Linked DNA regions of Oreochromis niloticus. The protein of the gene in region 2 purifies or fractionates together with the protein of the main gene of each other region. This does not show direct contact. Links are inferred from orthologs where the notes say so. Each region holds a gene or a part of one and is shown on either strand. Other genes may lie near its edges.

What was found.
Region 1: the proteins of mios (region 2) and nprl2 purify together in Homo sapiens (affinity purification with western blotting; 3 studies listed by BioGRID and IntAct, with this or other methods). This does not show direct contact. The link is inferred for Oreochromis niloticus from reciprocal best matches to the Homo sapiens genes MIOS and NPRL2.

Annotation. Positions count from the first base shown.
Region 1 is NC_031970.2:17,679,006-17,691,850, forward strand, and holds the start of nprl2 (GATOR1 complex protein NPRL2), read right to left. Parts: upstream 6,870-12,845; 5' UTR 6,545-6,869; coding exon 6,449-6,544; intron 6,227-6,448; exon of another isoform or gene 6,204-6,226; coding exon 6,112-6,203; intron 6,003-6,111; coding exon 5,834-6,002; intron 5,748-5,833; coding exon 5,639-5,747; intron 2,961-5,638; coding exon 2,824-2,960; intron 2,513-2,823; coding exon 2,415-2,512; intron 1,280-2,414; coding exon 1,243-1,279; intron 794-1,242; coding exon 700-793; intron 610-699; coding exon 492-609; intron 379-491; coding exon 236-378; intron 147-235; coding exon 79-146; 3' UTR 1-78. Other genes in the region: hemk1 (MTRF1L release factor glutamine methyltransferase), read left to right, coding at 7,493-7,558, 8,977-9,150, 9,237-9,328, 9,410-9,503, 9,604-9,741. UniProt on the Homo sapiens protein: Catalytic component of the GATOR1 complex, a multiprotein complex that functions as an inhibitor of the amino acid-sensing branch of the mTORC1 pathway.
Region 2 is NC_031976.2:33,236,768-33,249,631, forward strand, and holds the start of mios (GATOR2 complex protein MIOS), read right to left. Parts: upstream 4,973-12,864; 5' UTR 4,936-4,972; coding exon 4,117-4,935; intron 2,823-4,116; coding exon 2,333-2,822; intron 1,480-2,332; coding exon 1,381-1,479; intron 1,263-1,380; coding exon 1,008-1,262; intron 1-1,007. Other genes in the region: col28a1b (collagen, type XXVIII, alpha 1b), read left to right, coding at 6,820-6,955, 7,788-8,347, 10,871-10,891, 10,975-11,034, 11,138-11,191, 11,261-11,305, 11,406-11,432, 11,532-11,576 and 2 more. UniProt on the Homo sapiens protein: As a component of the GATOR2 complex, functions as an activator of the amino acid-sensing branch of the mTORC1 signaling pathway. The GATOR2 complex indirectly activates mTORC1 through the inhibition of the GATOR1 subcomplex.

The DNA.
Region 1 (12,845 bases), on a different chromosome or scaffold from region 2:
TCAGTTAATTGAAGAAACCTCCTTCTCTTGTTCAAGGCATCTTTGGCTGCTTAGGCACTGCTGTACCCTTCTGCCCCATCACTTCCAGCACACGACAATATTGGGATCGTTTTCCAAACGTTCGTCAAGCTCCTGGTAAGTAATCCCTGTAAAATCAGGATATTGTAAGCACACTTGTTTCACACCATCAGTTCTTAAGTTTTGTCCAACAATCAAAGAAGGCTTCAAACCCTGCCTGTTTTGCAGCAGATCTCATCGTAACTATGACAACCGGTATAGAGTCGAGGAGGCCTGCTTCTCTCATCGCGGATCACCTTCACGGGATACTTCTGCAGCCGTCGAATAAGACACTTCATTAGTCCAAACTGGATCAGCCTCCTGAGGAGAAACAAGTGACGTGACACACATACAGTATGAGCCAGTGCCACTCTGACCTGAATTCATAGGAGCGCTAAGTCTTTTCAGGAACTGATAATTTGAGCGACGCTAACCTCTCGTCGACCCTTTGAAGCTGCTGTGAGTAGCGTGAGCAAAGGTCTCGCACTGTTGTTCCCGGACTTAGCCCACAATACAGCTGGAACACATCTCTTAGACTCGCGCGTTTCTGACCTGACAGTGACAGGGCAAAGCTGCACAGTTAACGTCACAAAATAAATGAAGATTAACACTTGTGTTTTAATGGACATGACCCCAACTAACCCTGCTTAGTGACGTAGTTAAGGCACTCCTCCTGAATGGACTTGTCATCTATGAGGCTCTGGACTTTTGGGGTGGTGCAGTACACATTAGAGTACTAGAGAAAGACAAGAAGGCAACCAGAACAAGTCATCAGGAAGTATTAGCCACTTTTAAATAACTTTAATTTTTTCACAGCAGAATATCAGAAAACTAGAGCCTTCCCTCACTTAAAAAACCTGCCCTAACATTTTGTATTCAAAGTGGCGCATAGAGAGCAATGTGCAGTATATAAATTGACTTTCTTTTGAAATACATGAACCCATTTATCAGAATGGCCTTCAGAACTGATGCTTGCTTTACGGTTATTATTTCTGCACAAAAAGATCCACTTTCACAAAAACAGAAAAAAAAAAAAAACATTTCCAGAATAAAGAAGGAATAATATGAAAAAAAATTACAACTTTTCAATTAAAACTAACATCCCGCAGACGGCCCTAATGGTCCCTGATAAACTGTTCCACTACACTCATATATGTGTGATGTGATGTGAGATTAGTTTAATACCTGGAAAATTGACACCAGAGTCACAACACCATAGTACCTGTGAAGTTAAAAAGAGAAGTAATTACATCTTTTTGAAGTGTATTTTGACTACAGAGTGAAAATGCAAGTACACCCCCTCATTCGGTAGCTTGAAAAACCACCTTTAGCTGCAATAACTTCAGCTTATCGTTGCCTCTATGACTTTATCAGTCTCTCGCGTCATTGTGTTATAATGTTTCCATTCACTGAGGTTTGTGGGCATTTATTTATGCACAGCTCTCTGAAGGTCCCACAACAGCACTTCAATCAGGTTTGGACTTTGACTGGTGATTGCAACATCCTGATTCTTTTATTTTTCAGTCATTCTGTTGCAGATTTGCTGCTGTGCTTTGGATCATTGTCCTGTCAGATAACCCAGTTTTGGCCAAGCTTTACAGTAGCTTTGGGACAGATGGCCTCACATTTGAGTCTGGAATATTTTGGGATACACAGGAGTTCATGGTTGACTCAATGACTGCAAGGTCACCAGATTCTGTGGCTGCAAAGTCCAAAACATCACCCCTCTACCACTGTGCTTGACAGCTGGTGTGAGGTGTTTGTGCTGATATGCCGTGTTTGGTTTTTGCCAAACAGCGCTGTGCATTCTGGTTAAATGTCAACACTTTTGGTCTCATCTTTCTAAAGGACATTGTTTCAGAAGTCTTGTGGTTTGTTCAGATCCAACTTTGCAAACCTACACTGTGCCGCCATGTTCTTTTTACAGAGAAGAAGCTACCTCCTGGCAGTCCTTCCAAACAAGCCATACTTCTTCAGTCTTTTTCTAATTGTGCTGTCACGAACTTTAACATGCCAACTGAGCTCTTGTGTGTGTGTGTGTGTGTGTGTGTGTGTGTGTGTGTGTGTGTGTGTGTGTGTGTGTGTTTAAGGTTTCTCTGAGTACTGTACGGCCTGACCTTGAAGTGAATCTGCTGGGATGTTAACCTACAAGAGGTCCTGGGAAGATTGTGGGATTGTGTTAGCACCCACCTGAATGGTCCAGAGCAGGAAACTATTAAAACTTCTGCATTTACAGAGGTGTTCACACTTGGTTTATCAGTTAATCAAAACAACGACATAAAACAGAGTTCTGTGATGAAGCAGTACGTGTGTGAGGTTACTGAAGAGTACAACTGTATTTGCTGAAAAATACTTACAGGAGATTCTGCACTGCGATACGAACAAGATTCAGCTCAACGTCTGCTTCAGCAGAAATTTTCTGGATGTGTCTAAATCCATCGATGTAGGGAAGAATCTGCAGTTAGCAGCAAATAGATAAGGGTTAGAGGCACGTAGTGCTATTTGCATTACTGGTTAACTAAATGCTGTAAACATGTTAACTTATAAAAGCAATAAAACAGTATTGTACCAATAAAGAGCATCTTGTCTTGCACTAATGCCTTCTTTCAAATCATAAAACAAAGGATATAAAAACGTGCTTATATCACTTCCAGCACAGCTGATAACAAGTGTTTAAACACTGATCTTTCTTCCAAGCACTTCTTAGAGTGCTATCAAATACCTCTCAAGAGCTGCAGCCAGAGGTTGTTGACATTGAAAGCCTACCTGTTGAGTGGTGAGATCCCACTGAGACTTGATAAAATGATCTTTGCACTGGGTAAAGACTGGCACGTCGTACTCCTGAACTATTGGGGGGTCTTTTCGCAGCTGGATCAGCTTTAGATGAATGGTGTTAGACTCATCTTAAAAAGGATACAACAAACAAGAGTAAGAGCGGTTTAAAAAAAAATCGTTTGATGACATCTGTTGCTGCCAACCAACATGTGAATACTGCCTATGTGCAGCTGGTAAATTCTTAAAATAAAATTTGACTCAGAAACATCAGCCTGCATTTCCCATCTCTGAATTTCTAAAAAGAGTAACAGTCAGAGCAAAGCTGCTTGCATAGTGGCACTGCTTTGTCTTGACTTACATTAACTAATCAATCCAAACAACCACATAATTTCACTTTGGACCATAGCCCAGGCAGCATGTTGGTTGGCTGATAAGGGCTTATCAGAGATATTGGAAAACTTGTTGTTAGGGAACATAATGCATAACAAAGCTCTCCTCAGTGGAAAGTGTGTGCTGTCCTACTGCCTGGATGTCTGCCACGCAGGGGCAACTACTAAAACCAGGAAGGCTATGCAGAAGGTAATTAATACTGCCCCCAAAATAAGTGGCTGCTCTCTGCCACTCCTGGAGATCCTCTTGTCTCAGGAAAACAAGGGCCATCACAGGTGACCCTTTGTGTCCCGCCACCCCTGTTTGACCCGCTGCCCTCTGGTCGGAACCTCCAGTAAATCAGGTCCCCCACCTCCAGACAAACAGTTTCTTCCCCTGGGTCATTCGGACTGTTGACAAACACAACCCCACCCCTGCCCTCCCACCCACCAACCAACCAACCAATCTGAGCCATGGCCTGAGTAAGCCTCATCAGCTTTTATCTTGTCCTGTATATATTTCTCCTGCTTGTTATTTATTCCTACTGTCTTACTATTTCTATTCTATTCCGGCACAGTTGGTGTGGATGACTCACAATTTAGTTGTACATGTATAATGAACATAATGGGCTATTCTATTCTATCCTATTCTATTCTAGATGCTTGAGTTCATTTAGAAATGCTGTAATGACATGATTTGTCTAGTAGAGCAGCTGCAGCTCTATAGTTTATGATCCTTTCAGTATGATCTGCAGCACAGTAACAGAGCACATGCCACAGTATTACTAAGTACATGGACATTATTACAGTTTTGGGCTTTTAAAGATTTCTCTGAGCTTTTCTTTTTCTAGGGTGGAATGGACATACAGCAGGCATCCTTAATGTACTTAAAAAATGCATGTTGTATTTACTCTAGTTATTGTCTAATATTAATATGTATTTGATGGAGTACCAAAAGGTTGATTCTGTTCATCTGGATGTAGCGTTTTTAATGGGAAAAACGTTTCGTCACTCATCTAAGTGACTTCTTCAGTCTCAGCTGACTGCAGGTTTCCCCAACCTTATAAACAGTACATTTGCACAATAACTGAAACCAGCCCACTGAATGAACAATGGGCTTGAGGTCAGTTCCTTGATCATTAATATGCAAATTGCCCATTGATCAACAACCACTGATCAAAGCCCATTGATCAAAGACCTGCGGTCAGCTGAGACTGAAGAAGTCACTTGGATGAATGACGAAACATTTCTTCCATTGAAAACGCTACATCCAGATGAACAGAATCAACCTTTTGGGATTTACTTACCTGGATGATTGAGCATGCATCAAGACATATTTGATGGAGTAATCAACTTTACCCGGATAACAGCTTTAAGTCTCTGCAGCGTCTGTATGTACTGATTTTTAATTACACAACATCATATTTGCGTTAATCTAGCTATAAAAGTAGACGGTAGGAGGTCGAAGCACATTTGAACTTTGGACCTCCACAGCCTGAAACCCACAGACTGTACAGGATTCAGTTATAAACGCTGTGTACATTTTGTATTTACTCAGGTCTTTAGTCTTTGTCTACAATTAAAATTTATTTTATGATCTAAAACATGTAAATGTGACAAATCAGGAAGGGAGCAAGTACTTTTTTACAGTACTGTAGCTCAGTCTTGGTCTCATCTGTCGATAAAACCTTTCTCCAGAAGGCATTTGGCTTATCTGTGTGGGCAGCTGTCAACTATGGAGCAGGGGTTTCTTTCTTGGTCGGCACCTATTTATGGCTGCTTTGAGCCTTGGTGGTTCCTGGGCTGTTCCTGAAAATCCTAACCAATTTCCTCTCATGTGATGTTGACAATCTTCCAGACTTCAGCAGAGTGTTGACACATCAGAATACATTGTACTTACATGTAGTTGTTTAAACAGATTATCTTGGAATCTGCAGTCAAACTTGTGGAAGGGAAATCTATAATTTCCCTTCCTATACCCATTGTTCTGAGTATTAGCCAATCTAATGGGTGATGTCAAACAAGCGTTTTTATGCTGGAAAAGAGAAAGTACCAGGAAAATCATGTAAAACGTGTAAATCATGATCACTAACAAGAAGTTAGTCTCGGAGAGTTAAAAGACATTGTAGAAACTTCAGCACCACTTATTAAAAGATTTAAGTGAATGTGTATATTTGAGTCTGTATGTATACTTCTGACCCTGTGTGGATTAGAGAAAATCCAAAATAAATTCTAATTCTTGTTTTTTTTAAGTCATTAAAGATTTAAAATAATTCCACCCCGGAAAAAAGAACAGTTCAACGAAACAGTCCAAAATTACCATGACATTCATGCCCATGATGAATGTGTGTAAACGTGTGACCACAGCTATATATTAAAAAGATATACTGCTCCTTGCCACAGATAAAACTTATAGCCAGTAAGATGCCAAATAATACCAATGGGTAGGCTGCAGGCTCCTGTGGCATTAAGATCCTCTAACAAAGTCGACATAATGGGTAAAAGCTTCTGTTTGCTCTCCTCATTGGATATAAAGCCGCTCTCCAGCTGCAACACAACAAGACAGAAAATCTCTAAGAAATCATCCTGAAGAAAGCGATCACATGAACATGTGAAAATATGATACTCTTTACCTCCAGAGTTGTAAGGTACCCAGATAGCTTCTTAACAATAGGCTCCAGGCCGCAAGTATTGGTCTGGGCATCGCAAACAAGGCCGAGGTTAAACAGGAGGGCATTTCGGCTATATTTCTTATGTTCGATGCACACGGGGCAGCCAATTAACTTTTTTCCCATTGCAGTGCTATGATTAAAAAAAGAGAGATTGGTTTATTAAGTTAATACACTATTATTTAAATACTAAGGACTTCAAACAAGGCAGGGAGACAGACGAGCAGGATAAGACTACATACACTGTTATTAATTTGTTTTGTAGCTCTGGCTTGGTGATGATATAAACCTGAACGGTGTCAAAGAGCTCCCGTGAGATGTACTCTTCTGGAACCTGTTAGGACACAGTATGACAAACTATACCCAATAAGATACATGAGCTCAGACGGATTATGCAGAGTACACGTCAATGCCAAATTACTATGAAGGATTAAATACCTGCCTCACACGTTTAAAACACACCCAGGGCACGAACAAGCTCGCAACTGGGGCAGTTATAAAGACAATCATAACGACAGTGGATATATAAAAAAAATAAAATAAAATAAAACTACTTTACCAGACCATCTGCACACTTACCTGATATGTTATCTTGGGTCCCAGAGTAGGGTGAAACTCACTGAAAAATATACACTCTATTCGAGTGGGCATGCCCATCATAGATTTTATCCTCATGGAGAACTAATCCAGAGGTGTGTAAACCCTGCTGAGCCCTATCAACTTGCCCCAAATTGCGTTAACAAGGTATCTCCTGTGTGTTTCCTCTGGGTCTTCCCAGTTTATTTACAGCAGCATGAGCTAGCATGTAGCTTTAACGTTTAAAAACAAGCTAGCGACGTCCTTCGGTACTTAAAAGCAGGTCTAAAGTTAAAAGACGCCCTATAAAATCTGTTATTAATGTATTAAGCAGAGGTTATGGTCACCCAGGCATCAAACTATTCAATAACTCGACACATCAATGCATGCAAAAACCAGACAGGGAAGAACAACAATAATATCGCGTTCAGGGACACCCAGTAACTTAGCCCTGGAATAAAAACTGCCGTTGCAAAAACTGTAAAGGCAACAATAAGACAGAGGAAGTCGTATGTATGTAGCACCAATAATGTTTTAAAATTAATATAAAAGTAACACGAACTCTGTTGTCGTATAAAAACGCTTTAAAGTATTGGGCCCCGAACAATTGCACAACACTAAGGAAATTTTCTCTTTTAGACAATTTAAAGGTTTCGAATAGTAGTATTTACCAAATGTAATACTACTTTTATTACTTGCTAATGACTTTTACATTTATAGATGCTATTTTACCATCTTACTTTACAGACTTAACGTCTATGACGGCAATGCTTTATATGTTTTACAGTCCGTGAAAGCAACGTCGTTCAGTAGCGTCAGCGCTGCGCAGACTGCGCCGCAGCCGCTCTCTGTGCCGCGTGCAGGACACATTTCGAGCCCCGCTAGTTAGCTTTCCGACACAGAAAAATGTTTGAATTTCATACAGGGCCGTAAAGTGTAGCATGTTGATCTAACCGACTACTGCCGCCATGCAGCGAGTTCAGCCCGAGAGCGCACAGACTCCGGAAACCCAATGAATAACGATGTAAAGACTTAATACTGTTAACCATGTGGACAAGGTCGCTGAGTACAAGCTACTACAGATGTTTTGGGTGCAGGAGTGGTGGACCAAAGGTAACTGGTCAAGTTATTTTTTTGACTTTTTTTCCCGGAAGTCGACACGTTGCGTCCAACGTGTTGAACAAACAAAAGCATGTCAGTGTCACGGCTTTAAAAACCAACCAACAGTCCAAACCTGTTTCCGTTGCCTTGCTAACTGGAAATATTACTCACATTACAAACTGACGCACCTGTAAGCACAGACCAAGTTACATGACTTTCTTGAACTGTTTATCAGTTGATTTCCATTGACGCAACTGGACCAAATCTGTTTTCTGTTATCTTCTTTTTAATAAAATAAAGTGGCAGGCACACACATTACAGAGGCAGCAGAGCTCAGACTGACTCAAGCCTTTAGGAAACTTCAGGAAAACATTCCTGCTGTTCTCGATAAAGCTTTACAAAAGCTCTCCTGCTTGTTGACAGGTGAACACACCTGTCTGCATTCCTCAGACTTATCAGTATCAAACCTTCCTGCTGCTTGCTGTCTGCTGGATTTGAAATTGTACTTGCTATTTATTGAAGCCGTTTGCACTATTATATGCTAGTATAATTTATTGTTTGCACAATCCCAGCCTTATTTTGTATTTATTTGTCTTTCTTTTGCTTCATTTTTTTTTAAATCACTGTTGCATATAAAATTTTGCACTACTTCACATTATAAGGCCTTTATTATGAGCCTGTGGTACTTTCAAGCAATTTTATTGTAGGTTATAGTTCTTTATGCTCCTGCTATCACATAGTAATTTCCCCTGCAGGATCAGTAAAGTGATGATCAGTAAAGTATCTATCTATCTATCTATCTATCTATCTATCATGACACATATCTTATACCCTATACTAAATAAATACTATATAAGCTTAAATAACTCAAATAAATAAATAAAAGGATTATTGTCCATATACATACAGTAACTAATAATAACAGTTCTCTCTTACTGGATTACATTAAACTGTGTGGAGATGTAGTAATGTAAGTTAACTTGACTTACAGATTCCCTATTAACCCCGCGGTTATAGGGAGGAAGTGAAAATTAATTATGACTTGTCAGTCAGACACATGTTATGAGTAATTGTGAGTGGTGTAAATAAATCATGATGATTTCCAAAGTTGCCGGAAATTCCCCAGAGGAGATGCTGAATGGGAGTCTAACATCAGTGTTAAAAAAACGCAGTTGGTTTCTGGATACTTGGAAATTTTATTTAAACTTTAATGTAACGGGTGCCAGTTTGGCTCCCTGGTTGAGCTGGTGAACATGTGCCATATGGTTCGGAACTCAGCAGCCTGGGTTTGAGTTCAACCCTCAGCCCTTTACTGCGTGCCTTCCCTCGTCCTTTCTCCCTTCTTTCCTTTCTACTCCTCACTGCTTCACTATCAAAATAAAGGCAATAATGCTCGCTATAAAAATAAATCCTAAGTGTAATGCTTTTAGGTACTTTGGAGGTCCCATGCTGTCCGTACATGCAGCGCTCCAGCCTTACCCGCAGGCAGGATTACACCACTTCAGGCGGTGAACTTATGGAAGAGGCACTTTGAGGAGAGAGCTGTGACGGAGCCTGAGCTGTCCAGCCAGTACATCATTGCTCATCTTCTCGGAGCTAAAACTGTAATTTGCTGAATCTACATTGCCTCAGCACTTGCACTGACATGCAGTAAACGTGGATCAAGTTCACATAGCGTTTCTTTATCCAGATAGAAAGTCTTGAGCAGGAGAGATTAACAGAGTTTCTCAGCCGAGAACAAACAGAGCAGATATGGAAGCTCTGCACCAGACGTCTCTCCAGGTGAGTTTGTGCATAGATCTCTCTATATGCATTTAAATGATTTTCAATGAAAATTTTTACATGGTTTCATGTGTGGGTTAGGATGCCCGTGCAGTACGTGATTGAAGAGTGGGACTTCAGGGACCTGACGCTGAAGATGAGGCCTCCTGTGTTCATACCACGACCTGAAACGGAGGTAGAAGAAAAGTCGAGGCAGCGCATGTTCACAGTGAAGACCCAGCGAATGATCACACATAAGCCAAAATGTGATTTTTATTTCGTCTTTGCTGATGCAGGAGTTGGTCGAGCTGGTGCTCAATGATCTGCAGATGAAGACTGAGATGGGCGTGCCTGATAAGATGGAGCCTACGTGCCTGGAAGTGGGATGTGGGTCTGGTGCCATTTCTCTTAGCCTGCTGAAGACACTGCCTCAGGTAGAAATTTGTGTTATAAGTTTTCAGATGAGTGGAATTCCAATAAGGCACACCACAGGAAAAAGGCTGTTTAACTTATTAATGAATTCCCCCTCACTTTGGGTCTTAATACACTGACAATGAGTCAAATTTTTCATTACTCCAGTGAAATTTATGCAGTGTATTGAGGTTTCTCATTGGTTGTGATATAACCACTGGTTGCTAGGGAAAAATGTGTATTCCCCCAACTGGTTCTCAGTTCTTCCTGGAGATTTCTACCCTCACTGGGTGAAATTGGTTGCATGGAAGCGCCAAGTTATTGCTGTGGTTGCTTTAGAGATTGCCGTTGTTGCCCTTCAGGCGTAAAATTTAAATTATATTTTCAAATGAAATAAAATAAGACATATATGAAGTCTAGACTAAGGCATAAAAATGTACCTTTACTCTGTTTTCTTGGAAAGCTTTCTGACATTAAAAGGAGGCAAGTTTTTGTGCTGCTAAATCCAGACGTTATGATAGTGTCGATTTTAATAATTAATATTAATTATAATTCAGTGTTCCACCTAACAACCCTCAGGTCAGTGGATCAGAGTTTAATGGCCCGTGTGCATTTTTATTGGCTTGTGAAAAAAGCTTTCATTTTTATTTTTTTTAAATATTTTTGCAATTTAATTAGCAAAGTATGTGATATTATTGCAGGTATCAAATGCCGTCAGCCTTCAGCACGCTGTATAATTGAACCAGTCTGGTATCAGACTAAGTTAACAGTTCATCTGCATATTGTAATACAACTTCTGGAGGCTTTCTGATTTTGACTGTGTAAAACTTATTGCAAATTCAAGAGTGGAGAATAGATTTATAGTTTGTCACATTAATATAGTGAATCCTGTCCAACACTACTATTGATATCAATAAATATGTTCTTTAGAACGTCCACTGACATTTCTAAGTGTGCTACTGGAAAGCACACAAATGTAAAATTATCCATGCATCCATCCATTTTCCCCTACTTATCCTTGTCAGGATCACGGGGAGGCTGGAGTCTATTCCAGCTGCCATAGGGCGAGAGGTGGGATACACCCTGGACAGGTTGCCAGACTGTCACAGGACTAACACTGGCAACACTAACCATTCCCACTCACATTCACACCTATGAGCAGTTTAGAATCACCAATTAACCTAACCCCACTAACTGCATGTGTTTATATTGTGGGAGAAAACCAGAGTACCCGGAAAGAACCATCCTCGACAGTAGGAGGAAAAATCGTCATCAAAGAAAATGGGCAAAACAGAAGCTCCACTCCCTTTAAAATATACATGTCCACTCTTGCCTGTTTATTTATTCTCTCTCTCTTTTTCTCCCTTTCTCTCCCTCTCAATGCTCCTCTCTGAGACTTTGTGCTGTCACCCAAAAGTTGAATGTAACAGTGAAACAGAGTTTGCAAAGCAATAAAAGGCATAAACTGATCCATGTTTATAACAATATTCAGACTGAATACGGGCTGCTACGGGACATAGACTTCCTTTTGACTTGCTCTCAGTTGGATCTGGAGCTGTAGTGTAGACAAACAATGAAGCGCAGAACAGGAATAGACATCTATAACAAACTAAAATAATAAACTACATCAGCCCCTTTTGCTGGCAGCTAGCGATATACCAGCAGACTAATGGCTCAGAAAGCTAAAATTAGCTAATAATCTTGAGTGATTTAGGCTACATTAGCTAACGTTTTTGACGCTATTTAGAGAACAAATAAAAATAAGCGGACACTTTCTAAGTCACAACATCGCCCCTGCATTATCAGAACAGTTTGCACTTTTGCTATATTTCAGTTAAAGTGTGTTTTAAATCTGCATCACTCATTTGTGTTATGAAATTGCCTCTCCATCTTCTTTCTGCTGCAGCAACGACAGACTTATTTAGTCCTTTAATGACAAACTGCCCTGCTGAGGCAGTAACGCCTCTGTGTGAGCGCACTGTGACATCATGACACCAACAACGCTGGGCAGTTTTAGAGGAGTTAGCAAAATATAGCGTTAGAAGACAATGCCAGAAAATAATATTAAAATGTATTATCATTACTACTATTATTATAGTTATTTTTAGGGATGCTGTGATGAAATATATCTATTGTAGGACTGTTTTTAGTCGCAAATGAGGGGGAAACACTTGCGTTTACATCGTTTAACACATGCTTCAGAGCCAAGCGTTAAATGAAGCATTGAATTATTCGCACTAGTTTATAGACAGGTCTGTCACTACCATTCAAACTATGATCACAGCAACATGCTGTAACACAAAGCGATCACAATGAGTTTTGTGACAACCAGTCAGAGAATACATGTTTTTCCCTAGCAACAGGTGGTTGTCAGGGGGTCAGAGTCCGGTCTTTAGGCATGTGTGGCTGCAGCTTTAACAATTATTTTCCCAGCGACTGCCATCAGCCTTCAGCAACCACTTGCAATCGGTCAGGGTAAACTCATTATTCCTCCATGACCCGGAGGTTGCCAGATGGTCACTGACAGGTCTTTAAGCCTGTGTGACCGGGGCCTTATTCGCTTGATCCTACACTGTCACCATGACAGTCCAAATAAGCTAACAACTGAATGTCTGGCAGTTAGTGGTCATGTCTGCAAAATCTCAAGACCCATATTTTTTTTGTTCCTCATTAACATCTGTCAGATGAGGTTGTGTTTTGAACATCTGTGATTTTGATCAGGATCCTCTTTGCAATCAGTAACGTTGTGTACAGACGTTCATGTTCTCTTCAGGAAGTTGTGACATTTCCTGTAGCACCAAGCATTTTCAAAACTAATCCCATATAACAAGCAAATGTCAGCTTGTTTAGATGCTGAACATGATGCATCAGTTCGAGAAAAATTACAAATTATGAAAAACAACAATGTAAGTTGGTGGGCAGTCATGTGTTATGAGAACAGTTTCAATCCTGGCATTAATTCTCTAAGTTGAATAAATTCCTCTGGAGGAATGGAACACCATGCTCACCTCGGTCAGGTACTGACAGGGGTGAATGTCATGGCCTTATTATACACTCAAACTGCTGTTTGAGCTTTTCGATCCATAGCCATTGGAAAGTGTTGCTCACTACTATTGTCAGCTTAAGT
Region 2 (12,864 bases):
CTGGGAAGCTGGCAGGTTAAGTCCATTTAAACTCTCCTCTTACTGCAGTGGGCAATTTAGCTCTCATATACATCTACATGAGGTAATATGTAGAAATGCTCACAGCTGCAGTGCATGTGTGAAAAAGGTTATGGCAGCTGTTCAAGGTGATGATTTTATTGCTTAGAAGGGGGAAAAAAGTGTCCTACTTTTTATTTTTTAAGGCTAACCTATCCTAAACCAGCTCCATATCCCTTTTGTCATACTGTGGGCTTTATTTCAAATTTAAACTGCAATTTCTTGCTAAATAAAAGAACTTTTAATGACTTTGCCTCCCAACGTAAGACCTATCATAAACCCTAACAGAAATCTCTATACAGCACAGTTTTTATTACATATTATTACCTCCAGATATATGACCGGGTGAGGCTCGGAAAATACCTAACTGAACTACTCTGGTATAACAAAATGTTGGTTTAAGGTTGTACATTGGAATCAATACATTGTAAGTCAGAGCTGCAACGCTGAAAGTCCTGAGATGGCTCTGTTGACACATCTTATCTAATGAATCACTCTGTCAGTCTTACTCAGGAAACACTTATTAGAGCACACAACAGAAAAGCGTTTGACCTACATTTGTGTAATTTTTTTTCCTCAGTTAAGGCGTGTGTAAACAGCAGCCATTTCTCTCCATTTTCATTAAACTTCAGTGTAAAAAACATGTGATTCCTGCTGTTACATTAATGAAATTCCCCTTTTTTCAAAGACTTCCATTTCATTTTTCAAGAGATTGCTTGATGTAGAACACAATTTTCATCAATAACTGTTTGTTCAAATTAAACAAGCCAACATGGAAGCAATAGAAAAGCTGTGATTAGGATTTGATCATTGTTTTCTTACATTTTAAAGACCAAACAATTACAATTACATATATTTGATACATGTACAGTTATGTAGTCTGTCTAAAGTATCTCCCCTTACATCAAATTACTTTCTCTCGCCTTCCTCTCGTCCCTAAAAGCTCTCACCTTTCTCTGCCATGGCTCCCTTGTTGAGGATCTGGATTGCCCGGCGGATGTCCAGGTTGAACAGAGCGACAGCAGCTGCCCGCTCCCACTCGTGTTCCTGTTCCAGTGATCGCAGGAAGTTCTCCACATCTGTGTCAGTTCCCCTGCTGATCCAGCCACAGAGCCGCAGGGCAAGGCAGCGCTCCTCACTGTGGTACCGCAGCACATCTGTCTGCCGGTCCGAGCCAATCCAACACCTGCGGCTTTCGGTTGTCCCTTTGGGACCACAAAGACAAACACAGGAAGTCAGTTTTTCAGTGTATGAAATTTCAAATAAACACAGTTACTGTGAAGTGTCCTGTGGCACAGACAATCAGTTGGTTATTTGTTTTACCTGAGGTTGTCTTGACAATGTTCTTAATCCCAGAATAAACCACAGACTGTACGTTCCCCTGAAGTTTTAGCTCCATATCCTCCGCACACTGTTTCATATGTGATACTTTCATAGGAACTGTAACAGTGTGCAGTCCACACAACATAATACAGGCACATAACAAGGCAACTACAACATTAATCATTTTAAACTTGAACAACGACAAAAGTAAATAATGTATTATGTTATATGTGTTAATATGTTTAAGTTATTTTTACTATGGTTATAAATCGTTTGCATTCATTCATTTTTCCTTAGTTATTCAAGCACTGCCTGCAGTGACGTTATATCCCACCAGGGGGCGCAGGTGGGACATAACGCCAGTGAGATGCATTCAAACACTGCCCCACATTTTAATCTGTCACCATCTGAGGATGTTTAGAACTATTCAATGTATTTATAGGCAACCAAAAATGATTCAAAACTTAATTAATCAGTGAATCAACATTAATGACTCAGTTTGGGAGTAATTTTAGAATCCTTTTTGACTTTCTTGCCAAACGTTCAATAAGAAAGCTCTCGTGTTTGCACACTAAATAAGAATAACATAAAAGGTGTTATTATGCCCATTATAGGCTTCATAGTCTTAATGATAAGCTTTTTAAACGTTGAATTCTTTACTGAACTAATTTGAAAGGTTACATTTTGAAGTAATAATAACAATAATAATAATAATAATAATAATAATAATAATGATATAAATATCTACTCTATAAAGTCTTTAGAGGAGAAACCTTCAAATGAGGAGAACCATCATCGGAGCAATGAAGCACTTCACTTCTGCTTTGTAAAGTAATAAAAATAACCTGCATACAGTTTCAACAGGTGGCTGACTGTTTTTCTCTGCCATTAAACAGATTATCAATAAGCCATCGTGCAGATATTTCCACCATTTCATCACCTGAAAGGATATAGAACAGATCATGCCATAAAGACTTAAGTTGGGCATCCTTCCCACCCGCCAGCAAATGGTTCCTCCACACCTGGACGGTATCATGTCCGTACCTGGACTGAGCCCTTTCCCTCATTTTAGTGGCAATGTCTTTCTCAATCATACTCTCCACTCCCTCCGCCGAATCCTCAACACACTCGTACAAGTGTCTACCACACGCCCACATGAGAGAGGTGGTGGAGCTCCATGCCAGTGAGATACGTTCAAACACCGTGAAGTCAGTCATGACACGGTTGGTTGCTGACACCACCACCATGCGGTTCTGAGAGGATGGGTGCCAGGCAAAGCTGCCAATCTGACTTTCACAGGGCTGCACACTGCGCTCAATGATGGTGGGCTCCGTCTCATCACCTATGGGTGTGGGAGTGTGCTGCATGTCGTACAGGCGGATAATGTTGCTGTCACGCGTTAGCGTGGCCAGTAGGCCAGTACGGGTTGGACACCATGCCACCTGAGAACAAAAAGCAGAATTTTATCAGCTATAAAAAAATAAAAAGTGGAAAAAAAAAAGACTTCTACTGAATAAGCATGCCCTGACTGTGAAACCCTGAGCTAATATAAACCTTTAAAATAACAATGTGACATTTTTAATGCATCTTAATCTTATTTTTGATATCATTTATTACCTCTTTTTTCATTTAAATGAAACAGGTCTTTGTGACAAAGACCAAGTAAAGAGTTTAAAATTATTTGAGCATTTCATTACTCTGTCTTTGAACATTTAGGCCAGGGGTGTCCAATCCAGGCCTCGAGGGCCGGTGTCCTGCAGGTTTTAGATGTGTTCTCGATCCAACACAGCTGATTCAAATGGCTAAATTACCTCCTCAACATGTCTTGTAGTTCTCCAGAGGCCTGGTAATGAACTAATCATTTGATTCAGGTGTGTTGACCCATGGTGATATCTAAAACCTGCAGAACCCCGGCCCTTGAGGCCTGGAGTTGGACACCCCTGATTTAGGCAATCTAAAATTGACGGGTTACAAACAAGCAAACAAGCTGACATCTTATTTTCTAATAGACCAGTGGTTCTCAGAATGTGGGGCATTGAGCAACTGCTGAAGAGGCGTGGAATGACCAGAGGTTATTCCCTGAAAAATCAATCTGTGCCTCCCACCTGACCCTGCCAGAATCAGCTGACTTCTTTTTTGGTACAATAATTTTAGTATATGTAATGCAGCCAAAACAAATTGTACCGTAATAGTAAGAAAATATTTGTCAAGTTACAGACACACTGTAATTTTGAATTTGGTAAAAAAAAATTCCAGCATTTCCAGAAAAGGAGATAACCACATGAAAATTTCAGAGATAAAAAAAAAAAAAAAAAAAAAAACACAAACACAGTTTGTTTGTTGTTTTTTAAACTGCAATTGAATCAACTTTAAACCCACTCATTATCATGGTTGTAGTTCCTCGAGTAAGTATTTTCAAATTCTGGGTTATAAAATACAATTATGTCACAACATTTTTTGACACAGAAGGAGTCACAGCCAGATGAGAAGCCTTGTATGAAAATAAGATATGTCATATGTTATCACTTATTTTTAAATGAGCCACTTGTCATGCTGACCTTTATTTCACTAAAATTGAACTTACAAACTTTGTAGATATTAATAAATGATAGAAATTTTAAATGAGGAATGCAGAAGTCTGAAAGTTAACATGACCAATACACAAAGCTAGTATATTAGTGCATCCTTATTACTGTGGCCTTTGGTTAGTTTTCTTTATAACAAACACCATCCTACCTTTGTGAGTGGCTTGGGCTGCTCAGTCAGCGTGAGCACAGGCTTCTCAAATTTCCTCAGATCCCAAATGGCCACCTGCCCCTCAAAGAAAGAGGCCACGCGGTCATGGAAGTGCGGGTCGACTGTCACACCTTGGATGGCTTTCGTGTTTACAAATGTTTTCTGACTCGTGTTTCTCAGGTCAAATATCGCAAGGTTCCTGTGCATGCCTGCCAGCAACAGCTTTGGGTCACGGAGCAGCCAGCAAAGCGAGAGGCAAGCATCGTTCTGGCCTAACTCATACAACGGCTTGGTCACCACTGTGCTAGAGTCCAAATCGACAGATGAAAGGCGAATCTTCTCAGCTGCTACACTGGTCTCTGGGGACAATTTACTGCTGATGTCCCATATGAGGACAGAGAAATCTGCCCTGTGCTTGTCTAACCCAGCAGCCAACAAGTTGCTGTCCACAGGGTTCCAAGCTAAAGTGTTGCACTGACGGGCATGTTTGGGCACAAACTCTTTCCCCACCAGCTCTTTGCATGCAGAGTTGTGGCTCTGGCCCAAGCTGGTAAGCACAACCCTGCCGTTGGCTTGGCCAACGGCAAGTAAACACTCCGGCTCGTGCTTGGGGTACCAGGCCACACATTTCATATAAGGGGTGTCAGAATTGATGGCCAGTAATGTAGCAGCAGTTTCCTCGGAGAGTGGGAGGGTGCCAGCCTTGGCTTCTGCGCTGCCCACAGGTCCGATCCGGTACAGTCCCAGTTCAGAGTCACAGATGACGTAGCGGTCCGGGTGGTGGGGGGACCACAGGATGTCGGGCTTGGAACCGCTCATGATTCAGAAGCTAGTAGGTTTTCAGGGAAGTTTAACCTCTCCAGCCTGAAAATACGGCAGAATATCACACAAACGAGCACATGAACAAAGGTCAGAGACAGCGCAGAAATATTACACATCTCCGACTGCAGTGGTCGCAACGTGGACAACAGACAGTTCTGAGAAGTCTTTTAACATGTTAAAGTAATGATACAATGAACCAAACCGTCAATATAACCTAAATTCTGTGTGGAAGTGTAGCACAGTTGGTTTGAATTCATCGCCCAGCATGTTAAAAAGCTGCCGTGGGCAGCTATAGTATTACTTTTAAGTTTGTTGACATGCTAGCTAAACTAAGCTAATGCTAACAAGTAAAGGGAGAGCAAGCGCGTGACCGTTTCGCTCGCGCCAGTTTAACCAGCAGTCGAAAACATCCGTTTGAGCATTTCGAGAAGAGGTTTTACTTACATAAACACAACAAAGACGACTTATAGGAACGCACGAGATACAGCTTAAAATACACATGTCGACCAGGGGCAACCTGGAGCCAAAGCGGATGTTGTGTGTTACACCAAAACATGTCCGTGTTATTAGCAACGTCAGCTACTTCATGTTCCGCTAAAGATGAGGTTTACCAGCAGAGGGTGCTAAGTGAATAAAAAAGAGAAAAGAAGTCAACGAAATCAGCCAGTTTTATATAAGAAATTAGGCAATTTCAGATCATGACTATTTAAGTTAATTAATTTATTAAATGTATTTAAGCAATAAGAGTTGAGTTGTCGGACTGACAATGTTATTGAAATGAGGTCGATTTCTGCGCGGTACAAGAGTATCATACTACCACAATTCATCTGCTTTTCACATTAGTGGGGGAGAGTGGAAAATGCAAGAGAAAGAAATTCATTTGGGATTTTTTGCAGAACCATTTTCCTTAGTAATCAACCCATGATAGCCAGAAAACTGACACGTTTGTTAAGGAAAACAAGATGCCGAGAAAAAAAATACTTTAAAATTATTTTATCCCTGCAAACTAATGTAGTCTGCTTTATTTTATGTTGGCAGTGGTTTTTAGATGCATTATTTATGACTTGGAGTGATGACTATTGCAAATGCTATTTATCTGGCGTCTCAAAAATCTAAATGATTCCAGTGCATGGACTCAATGTGCACAAAAGAGTTTCACGGGATCCCTTCTGTCAGGCATGAAGCGTTGCACTGGACTAAAATGTTGGAGCGGCACCAGGGAGGGCCCCCGGCTACAAACACTCTGACACACACAGCACATCAGCTCATGCGATGGTCCTCAGTTTATCTCAGTCTGGTTTATAGGGACCCGGGGTTCCGCGGAGAAATGCCTCTCAAAGAGCTGACTGGACTACAAACACTGGCTGCAGCTAAATGAGATTCGAGGTAATAAAAAAAAAGATATCTTTGCTTTGTTTTTAAAACTTTTTTTACAAAGTAGTGACACTCGTGGTGTCACAGTTTGAATGGCAACTTCAGTATTTGCACTGCAAACTAGGTACTTTGCTGTGACCTTTTCTCAATCACCTGGCAGCTTTAACTTTATATTTGTTTAGATTCTGCAGCATTTGTAACCTGTTAACAGAAAAGTATTTGCACAGATTATTCTGGTTTTACACACATTTACATATTGTTGGCACTGTAATATAGTAAGTATTTGAGAAAGTGCATTATCAGTAGGAGGAACGGTGTCACCTAAGCAAATTAATACCATTAGAATTGCTGCCGTTGCAGAACACAGCTCCCTTTTTTGGGATCTGCAACTGGGTGTGGTTAGCAGTGTCCATGATAGTAAAAGGAATCCTGTTAAAGATGAAATAACTCATTGTGCTTTGCATACACTGCTTTCCCCCCTAACATTCTCCTCTTTTCTCTGTTAGGATGTTGCTGAAGGGAAACCTGAGCAGAGGAGTCGGGGTCTGCCTTCTGCTGCTGGCTCTCCTACACAAGGCCACAGGCCAGAGGAGAAAGACAGGGCGCAGGAACAACTACAGGCTGCAAGATGAGGGAAGAAATGGTAATTTTTAGATGAGGTCTCCACATGCTGGTGGTGAAAGTCACTATGTTGCATTGACAGAACAAATTGTTGAATGAGGGATGGTGAAATCAGGCCAATGAAATGGTTGAGTCATCAAATTTTAAGTTAAAATAAAACTACATGAGAAGTTCTTAAGTCATCCACCCACGATGCCTTCCTTTAAGTGCCTTTTTTTTTAAATGTAAAAAAAATGGATGGATTATACATGTGGCAATTTGATTTCATTTAGTACAAAAACAAACACCATTAACTCTGATCCCATTGCAACTGAAGTGAGGAACTTTAACTAAAGTAACTGTAAGTTCTAAGGTTGGAAGTTGACAATTTGGGGTCTTTCACTTGGTCCTTGAGCCTTTACTTGACAGTTTTAGTAATGTAGAACTACTCAAAACTGTTGCTTTACTTTTCCACAAGCTGCACTTACACTGACTTGCCACAAAATTAAGTCTCTGTATTTATTATTTGTGTAGCTTCCCTTCATGCTGCCAAAACGGCTCAGGACACAAGACCTTTATAGGTCTCCTGTGGCATCTGGTATTAGGAATTTGGGAGTGGGTTTTTTCCCCGAATCAGGTTTATTCCAGAATATTTCATGAATTAATGATCACACTTGAACCCACAGCTGTTCGATGTGTTCCTCGAGACATTAGAGCACTTTTGACAGTGTACATGGATACATACCGACTGCTGGCAGAAGGGACTGAATTTGTGGAAAGAAGTTAGAAAGGAGTCAGAGTGCCAATCCTGAAATTAGTCCTGTTTCTAATACTTCTAGCTTCATGTGAGTTTTTGTGATCTCCTTCTCAAGTAGGTCTGACATGTTCACTGGAAGTGGCGTTCATCCTGGACAGCTCTGAGAGCGCAACCATATCACTGTTTGAGAAACAGAAGACCTTCGTGTTGAGCTTCAGCACCCGGCTCGCCATGCTCCAGGTACCCGGCTGGACGATGAAGGTGCGGATGGCTGCACTGCAGTACAGCAGCACTGTGTCCATAGAGCACAGATTCTCAGCCTGGAAAGACCTGGACTATTTTCACGGTCAAGTCAGCACCATGAACTACATCGGTCACGGCACCTATACCACCTACGCCATCACCAACGCCTCACAGCTGCTGGTGCATGAGACCTCAAAGGACAGCGTGAGGGTGGCGGTGCTAATGACAGATGGAGTCGATCATCCCCGTAACCCTGATGTGATTGCAGCTGCTGTGGAGGCCAAGGGTCATGGCATAAAGTTCTTTGCTGTTGGGCTATCAGATATTGCCCAGCAGAATATTGCCAAGCTCCGGGCCATCGCCAGCACACCTGCTCAGCAGTTTGTCCAAAGTATGCTCGACTCTCAGCTGGAAGAGAAGCTGCTCAAAGAGATGGTGAGTGTTGGCTTCACGTAAAATGAGCTCAGGCACAGAGGTGCAAGTACAGAGTCGAGAAACATCAGAGTGGTGAAATGCTTTTTTAGAAAAACGTCGTGCTTGAAAATAAACTTCAGTTATTGAAGAGCCTGACAAAGCTTACTGAATGGCAAAAAAGACGCTTACTATAAAGATGCTGACTATAGATTCAGTCCAGAGAAACAAAAAATATACTATATGAGTGCTACCACAGCTACTTGGTTACTTCCTGTTTTAGTTTGAAAGTTCTGGAAAAGGACTGGGACTGTGTAGTACCTATCGAGTTCTACCGACTATTCAAAGGCTTATCTATGCCACATCTTCATACAGCTAACTTAAATGTCTCTGGAAAGTTTGAATCCATAACTGTCTTGCGATAAGGTGCCTGGGTGATTGAGCATGCATCAAGACAATACAGGAGAAAGTTTTTATAATATTATTATGTAATAAATAAATTTATATTAAATAAATCAATTCTCCACATTAAACATTTCTAAATTAGGATATAGTAAAACCTCAAAGTCCAAGACTAAACCAATCATTTCACCTAATTTACCTGAATTCTTTTACCACTCACAGAAAAAGTTTATGAATTTTCATTAAGGGCTATCTTTGTTCTTGACTGTGCCCTCAGCAAAGAAGAGTGTTAACAAGAGCTGCAGTGTAGCTAACAATCTATTTTAAATTGACTGGGTGGTTAAATTTCTTAGTAAATAGAGCAGAGGATGCACTAAACACAAGGTGAGCATTTCTACCCTAAAAGATCATAAGTCAAAGTATCTTAGAACTATCAGGCAAACTGCTTGCATGGTAGCTTTATGGCATTGGGTGGATGACAGGCAAATATTATAAAAGTATAACAAATAAAACTTTATAACCTCTTATCAGAGAGTCGCCCAGGTGTAGGGTATTTCTAAATACCCCTGTGGTGGCCCCTAAAGAAGAAGTTTAAACACAGCAAGCCCTAAATGAGTCACTTCTTCCCTGGTTGATGTTAAAAGAGGCTAAAAGTTTAGCGTTTGACAGATTAGAGGTTTATGTACAAACAGAAGAAATTAACCTTTGCTTTGATGTATGTTTTAGTGCTACATTGCTCAATTTCCCTTTTTTGAAAGAGTTTAACAATCCTGAAAATCACCTTAACTGTAATTAAAAAAAAAAAAAATGAAACCAGAATGTGGATGCTGTCACTGTAACACAAATGTGCACTACTGATACCTATAATTCAGCAGCTCCTTTTAATAGAATATGACTTAGGTATCTGACATCCCGCATACTCTCCTAAAATTATTGACATCAGCTGCTGTGTCTGGAAGTGGGCTACAGAGATCATCCTCTGTTTAGTCTTGTTCATGCTCATGCTGTCCTCACAGCGGGTTCACGTCTCAAGTCACAGAGTTGTGTCTGCATGAGGGTGTTTTCCTGACTGCTTTGCATTTTCCACAGCACCCAGAAATGTCAAATATCTGCAGGAGGTCACGGCTAGTCTGAGAGACTGGCACGACTTGTTCTGCTTTTCATTAATGTGCGATTTTATTCAATCACATTTAGCACTTCCAAAACAGAGACAGCTACATGACAGAGGACAGTACCCAGTTTTATCAAATGTAGAACTTATAGAACTTATAGAGGTTACGTACCTGCTATGCTGAGGCAGCTCCCATACCCAAGTGCCCCAAAAGCTTAGGTTGAGTTCACATGATTAGATTTATTGTTCTTTAAAAATTGTACCATGAAATGTCATCATTAACAATGACAGATTTTCAGTTTTCATCTTGTGCCCAAAGCCCAAAGTTGTCAAATCCTCATTGTTTGTTGTAAAGTTGTCTTTTAGCGTATTGTGTTTTTATATCTTTCTATATGTGTTGTCACAAGGTAACCAAAAACCAGTTGGGATTAGTTCACTGGAAATAATAATGTAAACACAGCTTTAGAGACGATTTTCAGGTTCTGTGAAGTACAAGTGTCCTGCAGATAGTATTTCATGAAGAGTAAAACTACATACAAGTCTGAAAATCACAAAAAAATTATTTACATAGTTCATGGCAAACAGAAATATTTAGATCCTTTATCCAGATAGGATAAAAATATCCTGTTATAAGTTACAGACATGGGCAGCTGCTGACAACACAGACAAGCAATGCCATTACATTTCTTCCAAGTACACTTTGCAGAAATGGAAAAAGAAAAGACAAGTTGGTGTGTAGTGTTGCTTAAGACACGTCAGTGTGGTCACAAAAAAAAGAAAACAGCCATGAAAGCATTCGCCAGAAGGCTTGGATTCACCTATGATGTCACCTGGACCCAGTCAGATCATAGTGGAAACTTTAACAGGTCTTAAGGTAAAGGGGAAAAGTACTGACTTTAAAATACTTTAAAGTAGAGGACACATCTGCTGCCAAGCAATTAGTACCATTCCTCAGTGGGAGTCAGGCTTAGACTGTAGATAAAAGATGGACGTAACTGACATATTTTTTTATCTTCTGTGTTTTTTTTTCACAGGTTGCAGTTGCATATGAAGGGGTAAGAATTAAAATGGAAGTCAACATCTCTTAAGTACGGCTAATGGTTGCACTGACTTTATAATATTTTTCTCGCTCTGATAGTGTCCACAGGCCCAAGTATGTCTGTGTGAAAGAGGAGAGAGAGGTCCTCCAGGAAGTCCTGTGAGTTTTCAGAAACCAAACATTGATGAGTTTCATACGTGGAAAACACTATTAGCTTTACAGCTTAATCATTGCTTCATCTTAACACTTGTAATATTTGCAGGGTAGAAAAGGAGACCCAGGCTTCAGAGGGCCAGCTGGTCAAAAAGGAGCGAGGGTGAGTCGTGACACAAAGAAAGCCTTTCTAAAATATTTCAGTGTTTAATTAGTGGGCCTCTGTTTAAAGGGGGAGCCTGGGCTGAATGGCACACCTGGAAGTGATGGTCCACCGGTAAGAAAGTAGATTTGTCCCTTGTTTTTGCACAACTGCCAAACAGCATGCATGTTAAGAGATGAAACATCGATTTTGAACCTGTTTGAATCGTTTGCAGGGCCGCACAGGTTACAAAGGCAACAAGGTGAGTGACTGTGACCTTTCAGCTGCTCTGTTCTCACTATTGAAAGATGTCCTCTGAAAATATCTGCAGGGTCTAACGTTGTGTCCTGTGGTCTTGTAGGGGGACAGAGGAGACTGTGGCGCTCCTGGGGAAAAGGGTGACACTGTATGGTCATTTTTTTCCTGAGATGTTTCAGTAAACACCCCAGACTTTGTCCATGTAGTGACATAGGTTTTATGTTGCAGGGCCCAGAGGGTCCTCCGGGCCCACAAGGACCAAAAGGAGCACAGGTAAGAGTGGCCACCGGTCTCAGTTCTGGTCTTGTTTTATACTGAATTGTGACAATTATGGGCCTTGGTTTAAATCCCACATTTTTTGTGAAGCTTTCCTGACTTTTTGTCTACATTATTCACACACATGTGAATGCATGAAATGAGAGGATAAAAAGATGTCCATGTAATTCATGGAAGGCGACCAGACCAACTGTTTATACAAGATGGAGCCACTGAGTTGTCACCCACTGATTTGATGATGGTATAATTTATCTTTAAAGACAACAGATTTTTAATGAATTTGGACTTTTTTCAATCACAAGCAATTTTCTATTTTTCAGTGTCAAAATTTAAGTTCCATTACTTTCAAAACTCATCGCTCAGACTCCTGAAAAGTCGACATCCGACAGTCGGTATTCTCTTCAATATGAAAAATGGAAGTGGAATTTGTCTTTTATTCGTCTTTGCACTAATGGAATGTGAATATTGGATTATGGGTAATCCTGATACCATTGGGGCTATGTAAAGCTGTGAATCCAGGCTTGCAGGATATTATTCTTTTGCAGGAACAGACTTTGTGTGATGGGATTAGTGCAGCGACCTGGCCGCACAGCAGCACTCTTCCTCCTCTGTGCTACTGGCACAGTGTCAGTATAACCTTGTTGTTTCACGAGCTAGGCATGAGAATCGAATGGCATGAAAGACATGAACGTCGATGTTAATCCTGTTGTATTTTTTATTCAGCGGCAGTGGGTTGGCTTTGACCTGCAGATCAGTCACACAGTGTGGGGGCTTCCTTTTTGATTTATACATGACTGCTTTTTGTTTGATTCATTTGAGAAGTGAAATATAAGGTTATGGATTATGTAGGTTATAAATGAGTAAGTGTGTATTTATTTTGCAGGGAGCACCAGGACCACCAGGGGAAGTGGGTCCTGAAGGCCCATCGGGTTCTAAAGTAAGTTTCTCAAGATGCAATGGATTTTCTGTCATTCCTGCTTGGTGGGACTGGCTTTTAAAACTGCAACAAAATCTCTTCACAGAGTTGATGTGCCACCCAAATGCAAAGTGCAGGAACAAAAATATCTGAACAATAGACGAGATTTAATAGTTGATTTAAAGAGTCACAAAGAAAACGAGGCATCAGGGAGAAAAAACAAGAACCTGAGCACGAGAAACAC